2 linked regions of the Oryctolagus cuniculus genome follow. The protein of the gene in region 2 purifies or fractionates together with the protein of the main gene of each other region. This does not show direct contact. Links are inferred from orthologs where the notes say so. Each region holds a gene or a part of one and is shown on either strand. Other genes may lie near its edges.

Region 1 (3,652 bases), on a different chromosome or scaffold from region 2:
AAGTTTCAGATCTGAGAGCACTCTGGATTTTCAGCTTAGAGGTGCTCAACCTGTTCTATATATACTGTTGGGCAGGGTGGAGGAAGACATAGCTCAAAGGTTTTAATGGAATACTATATTATTGGATTTTTCCAAGAATTTGGGCAGAAATTTTCAGATGAATACAATTTCACAAAGGTTATAAATATATACCAACCTACAACTGAAGGAATTATTCAGTATTTTACAGTTTTTCTAAAAATCTAGCTCCATAATCACTTTCTTTTCTTAAAAAATAAAATATCCTACCATATACTATCAAAGTCCACATTTCTCTGCAAATGCATACAATTTTAATAGTAAGATCCGAAATGAGGAGCACTGCTATCCGCAGATGACGGTGGAGGCGGCAGCGGGGGCGGGGGAGGGGGCGGGGGCAGGGAGTAGGGTATGTTGAGCATTGGATGAGGGGCCACGTTAGGTGCAGCCCAGCCCATGTTTACAGATGGGGGCGGCGGCGGCGGCGGTGGTGGGGGAAGTGAAAAATTATGCATGTCAAACACTGGAGGAGGAAAGGGGTACTGTGGAAGCATGGGATTCTCCTGCCTCTGAGCTGGATATCCTGAAGTCTCCTGTTCTGAGTTGTAAAACTGCTGAGGTGGCGGCCTGCCGTGGCAAGGTCGGGGATATCGGCCCCTGGCGAATCCTCGCGTGAATTCTCTGTTGCGAAATCCTTTCGCGTGCTCTGAGGCCGAGCTGTAAGCATTCCAATTCTGATGCACTTCAGCAAAATCATCACCTATTAGAGGGAAAAAGACATGAAAATACAATGAAGCACATTCAACATATTAAAAAATACTGTATGAAATTTCAATAATTTCTTTTCTTTAATTATCAGTATATCTTACGGCGGTTAAAATACTAAGTTTTAAAACTGTCAATTTTAAGGGAATTAAAAAAGCAAAACTTAAAGCCAAAGGATCAGGACAGATAAAACCACAGAAAACAAGAAAAACCATGGCACCACCCCCACCCACAATCAGAAAGGTGGGCGGGGAGTCTCGGCCTCCTCCTTCACAGACTGTAATGGGCTGCCCCAACCGTCCCGCCAGCTAATGTCAAGAGCAGACCACACAAGGAACAGCATCAATGCCTCCCCAAAATGACAGTGGAGATCTGCCGGGGGGTCCTAAACATCCGCCCCACCAACAACACAGTCTGCTCCCCTCTGGCACTAGAGCGGCGGCAGCACAGACCAAGTCCAGTTAGGACTTCATCCTCACCTAGTGGTCGTGAGGCTGTCCTGCATCAGGGTCAGTGAACACCATGAGGGAGTACGGGCAGAGAAGGGGTGTTCCTACCCCCACTATCAGGCACAGCCTAAGACCTCAGTCTTCTATCCTTGCCCAGCAGTGACAAAGCTCCTTGGCTGTGTTTCCAACAGAGGCTAAGAGGAAAAGCTGGACTTCAATCTGTTCCTTTCCGTTTCCCTACAAGATGGTGTTTAAGAAAAAGAAAACAAACAAACCCAGCCAAAACAGATGATTCACGTAAGACCCAAAGTCTCAACACCCAATATATCATAAAAAGGAGCAGGAAGGTTTCAAACTCAATGAAAAAAGACAGACAAAGCAAAGACATTAGAATTGAGAAAGATATTAAAAGCCATAAAATGCTGCATCAAGAAATGATGAACATACTTTAAAAAGTCTCAGAAAAAAAGAAGATTTTTTTAAAAAAGAATAAGAATCACTGAACTGAAATTTTTTTTTATTTGACAGGCAGAGTTAAGACAGCGAGAGAGAGAGAGAGAGAGAGAGGGAGGGAGGGAGGGAGGGAGGGAGGGAGGGAGGGAGAAAGGTCTTCCTTTGGCTGGTTCATCCCCCAAATGGCCGCCACGGCCGGCACGCTGTGCCGATCCAACGCCAGGAGCCAGGTGCTTCCTCCTGGTCTCCCATGCAGGTGCAGGGGCCCAAAGACCTGGGCCATCCTCCACTGCCTTCCTGGGCCACAGCAGAGAGCTGGGCTGGAAGAGGAGCAACCGGGACTAGAACCCAGTGCCCATATGGGATGCTGGGGCCGCAGGCGGAGATTAACCAAGTGAGCCACGGCACCAGTCCCCCGAACTGAAAATTTTAATTGATATTTAAAAACTCAATAATCCTAAAGGAGAACAACAAAACTAAAAGATCAACACTATCAAACGTCAAGATTCACCTACACAACTACAATAATCAGCTGGTAAAAGACCAACAGGACAGAACAGAGTCCAGTAATAAATTCATACAAACAACTCATCTTTAAAAAAAAAAGTGAATATAGACACAGGCCTTACCCTCTTAACTCAAAATGGATCACAAACCTAAATTCAAAATGTAAAATTATAAAGCTCTTGTAAGGTAACATAAGAGAAAATTTAGATGAAACTTGGAGTGAGTATGAGATTTTAGACAGGGCATTGACAATAGTGAAAAAAAACTGAAAAGCTGTATTTCATTGAAATTAAAAACTTCTGCTCTGGGACATACAAAATGAAAAGAAGAAAAGCCACAAACGAGGAGAAGGGCAGTAGTTGGCCTAGCAGTTAACTACTAGTCAGCACAAATGCACCCCACACTGGAGCACTTGGGTCTGATTTCTGGCTCGACTTGATTTCAGCTTCCTGCCACGGAAGACGCCTGAGGCAGTGGTGGTGGTCAAGTAACGGGGTTCCTGCCCCCGACATGGAGACCTGAACGGGGTTCCCAGCTCCCTGCTCGAGTCTCCCGGCTGAGGAAGGTTATCTGGAGTAAATCAGCAGATGGGAGCACTCTCTCCCTTTCTCTCTCCCTTTTTCCTCCTGCTTCTCAGAAAAATTAACAAAAGAACTATCTAACAAAGAACTGTTGCACAAAACAGGCAAAGATACGTACCAAAGATGGAAAATAAGAACATAAGAGGAAGATCTGTATTGTATGTCATTAGGGAAATGCACACAACGACATCACTACACACATACTGGAATGACCAAAATTCACAACAGTGGTAGCACAAACAGTGGTGAGGATATGAAGCACTGTGATCTCTTGTCCACTGCTGCCAGGGGGCGGGCACTGTGATGCAATCTGCAGGGCCACATCTCATATGGGTAACGGTTCAAGTCCCAGCTGCTCCACTTGCAATCCAGCTCCCTGATAATGAGCTTTGGGAAGGATGGTCCAAGTCCCTGGCCCCCTGCACCCATGTGAAAGGCCTGGATGAAACTCCTGGCTTCAGCCTGGTCCAGCCAAGGCTGACATGACCATCTGGGGAGTGAATCAGCGGATAGAATGTGTGTGTGTGTGTGTGTGTGTGTGTGTGTCTCCATCTCTCTTTCAAATAAAATAAATCAATCTTAAAAAAACATTGCGTAGACAAATAAGTCAATGAAACACTATCACTGACACAGAATATACCAACGTAAATACAGTGAAATACAGTCAAGTGACTTCTGACAAGGGTTCAAAAGTATTTCATTGGAAGAACTATACTTCTTTTTTTTGCAAATGGTGCAAGAATAAATAGGTATGCATAGTAAAAGAATGAACACTGATCTAAGCTTCACATTCTATTCAAAATTTAATTCAAAATGAATCATGGATTTAGCAGAAGACTATGAAGCTTTAAGAAGAAAAAAAAGGTAAAAATCTTTAAG
Region 2 (3,013 bases):
TGGAGTTTCACCTGGCCCAGCCCTAACTGTTATAGCGATTTGGGGAGTGAACCAGTAGATAGAAGATCTCTCTCTCTATCTGTAACTCTGCCTTTCAAATAAATAAGTAAGTAAGTAAGTATTTATTTAAAAAAGACTTAATATGCCATTGGGTCTAGCAGTAGCTCTTTCATTTCCATTGCTATGCCATTATGTGAGTATGCCACAATACACCCTGCTAGTAGATACAAGCATACTTTCTAAAGATCATGGAAAGTACAATTAAATGATAAACTTTTTTTTGGTACAAAGCTTTTCAAATCTGTTCCTAGTTTTTCATAATATACATTTTCCATTACCTGTTTGAAAATCCCCTGTATTTGACCTCTGTCCGATTTGGCAGTTATGAATGTAGCCACTATGAGCCATCTTGTACGAGTGTCCTGGTGCACACATGTCTGCCTGTCTGTGGCGCATCTGTGAAGGGGGGTGATGGCTGGGTCCTGGGGTGTGTTTGACATCTGTGGTTTTACCACACTGCTTCCCGATGGGGAGACTGGTCCTCTCCCAGCAGGGCTCATGCTCTCCACATCTTCACCAATGCTTGGGATCTCCAGACCTTCAGAAGTGAGTATCTGGTGGGTTGGCCATTATAGCCCTCTTCATCTGTGAAGCAGCTAAAATTTAGAGAAAGTCTTGGAGTCTTTTGAGTGTCAATAATGGCAAAACTATCCTCTAATACGACAGTTTAACACATTTTTCATAAATGGGGGCTATTGTAGTTCAGGAAGTCAAACTGGGTGTCTGGACTTATGACCCAAAAAGCAGAGGTAGGAACTGAGTCTGCCTGCTCTCGAGCCGCTCCTCGTGCTGATCTGCCCCTGTGTGGCCTGCGCCAGGCTGGGATTTCTCAAAGCAGCCACCATGTGGTGGGAGGAAGTGGGAGTGGCACAGCTGAACCGGACCCCTCCTGCCCACAGCTTATTGCCTGGCAATGCCGTTTGGGTGTGTGACTCTGGGTGACAAGAAGAACTATAACCAGCCATCGGAGGTAACCGACAGATATGACTTGGGACAAGTCATCAAGACGTGAGTGCTTCAGGCCTGTTGGGCAAGGGCGGGCAAGGACTGAGGAAGGGGGACTGGGGTGCAGCCCGTGCTCAGCCAGGGCTGAGGGGATCGCCTGTTGGCTGCAGCGAGGAATTCTGTGAGATCTTCCGGGCCAAGGACAAGACGACGGGCAAGCTGCACACATGCAAGAAGTTCCAGAAGCGGGATGGCCGCAAGGTGCGGAAGGCAGCCAAGAACGAGATAGGCATCCTGAAGATGTGAGTGTAAGGCCTGGGGAAAGGGTGGGCTGGCAGGGAGCAGGCAGCTGGCCTCGGGATTGGCCCGCCTCTGGCCGGTTAGTCTGCTGGAGCTGCTGCAGTGACCAGGGGCTTACCCAGCCCTGACTGCTGGCTCCTTTTCCTGCTGCCAGGGTGAAGCATCCCAACATCTTGCAGCTGGTGGATGTGTTTGTGACCCGCAAGGAATACTTCATCTTCCTGGAGCTGTGAGTGCGGGCCTGGGGTCAGAGAGGATTCCCCAGTCCCCGGGGTCTTCCCTCGTCCTGCCTTCTGCAGCTAAGGAAAGCCCCCTTTTCTGAACCCTTGGGGACCCAAATGCAGCCCACCCAAGTGCTCCTGCCCCACCCCCGGTCCTGCCCACGCCGGGCTCAGGGGCTGGTGTCCCTCAGGGCCACGGGGAGGGAGGTGTTTGACTGGATCCTGGACCAGGGCTACTACTCGGAACGAGACACGAGCAACGTGGTGCGGCAGGTCCTGGAGGCTGTGGCCTACTTGCACTCACTCAAGATTGTGCACAGGAACCTCAAGGTGAGGCCAGGGCCAGAGTCAAAGGGAGCTGGGCTGGGTTGGGCTGGGCTGGGTAGCACTTCGGGGTCTTGGTCCAGCCCCTTACGTCTACTCGTGTCTGCTTCTGGCCACCCACATGCCATTCCTGGCCGGGGCAGCTGGAGAACCTGGTTTACTACAACCGGCTGAAGAACTCCAAGATTGTCATCAGCGACTTCCACCTGGCTAAGCTAGAGAATGGCCTCATCAAGGAGCCTTGTGGGACCCCCGAGTATCTGGGCAAGCACATGGTGGGGCAGGGGCGGGATGGGGGCAGCCTTTCTGGGTGGGGGAAAGGGAGTCCCCATTCGAGGAAGTGGGTGTGGATGGCACTGGGCCTAGTCAGACCTGATACTAAACAGTAGCATTGTTTGTAGCCCCGGAGGTGGTAGGTCGGCAGCGGTATGGACGCCCTGTGGACTGCTGGGCCATTGGAGTCATCATGTACATCCTGTGAGTAGACTAGCAAAGCAGCCTTGCGGCCAAGTGGAGTGGGGCCTGTGTCTGTGCTGTCCTGGGTGACCCTGCCCCACGCAGGCTTTCAGGCAACCCGCCCTTCTATGAGGAGGTAGAGGAAGACGACTACGAGAATCATGATAAGAATCTCTTCCGCAAGATCCTGGCTGGTGACTATGAGTTTGACTCTCCATACTGGGATGATATTTCGCAGGCAGGTGAGGAGGTGCCCAAGCACGTGAGTGCAGAGCGGTGGGGAGGGGGCCTCTGCTCCCAGCTTCTTCAGCTGGATTCTGCTCCTGCCTCGCTGCCCGTTCACCACCTGTAGACAGTGACATTGGGGCACCCATGCCTTCCCCCTCCCTGGCTTTGTCCGCAGCCAAAGACCTTGTCACAAGGCTGATGGAGGTAGAGCAAGACCAGCGGATCACTGCGGAAGAGGCCATCTCCCATGAGTGGTGAGCAGGGCCCAGGGGAATGGAGAGGCCAGGGCTCTCTTGATTCCAGCCCCCCACCCCACCCCAACCCACACCTAGTAGCCCCATCCTTGAGGCCCTGAGTGGTGACGGCAACCAGAGCTCAGCTAGCCCAAAGGTTCTGAATGGCTCTCCCGGGATCCCGGGGGAAGGGCTGGGCAGGTCTCCCCAGAGGCCTACACCCCTCAGATCCGGATGCATTTCCAC

Evidence for each region. Proteins that work in one complex are often made in the same cells at the same time.
Region 1: the proteins of CAMKV (region 2) and NAF1 purify together in Homo sapiens (affinity purification with mass spectrometry; 3 studies listed by BioGRID and IntAct, with this or other methods). This does not show direct contact. The link is inferred for Oryctolagus cuniculus from reciprocal best matches to the Homo sapiens genes CAMKV and NAF1.

Annotation. Positions count from the first base shown.
Region 1 is NC_091439.1:133,990,874-133,994,525, reverse strand, and holds part of NAF1 (H/ACA ribonucleoprotein complex non-core subunit NAF1), read right to left. Parts: intron 779-3,652; coding exon 333-778; 3' UTR 1-332. UniProt on the Homo sapiens protein: RNA-binding protein required for the maturation of box H/ACA snoRNPs complex and ribosome biogenesis.
Region 2 is NC_091441.1:99,398,285-99,401,297, forward strand, and holds part of CAMKV (caM kinase-like vesicle-associated protein), read left to right. Parts: intron 1-959; 5' UTR 960-973; coding exon 974-1,068; intron 1,069-1,175; coding exon 1,176-1,307; intron 1,308-1,459; coding exon 1,460-1,534; intron 1,535-1,717; coding exon 1,718-1,856; intron 1,857-1,993; coding exon 1,994-2,114; intron 2,115-2,251; coding exon 2,252-2,327; intron 2,328-2,411; coding exon 2,412-2,548; intron 2,549-2,709; coding exon 2,710-2,788; intron 2,789-3,013. UniProt on the Homo sapiens protein: Does not appear to have detectable kinase activity.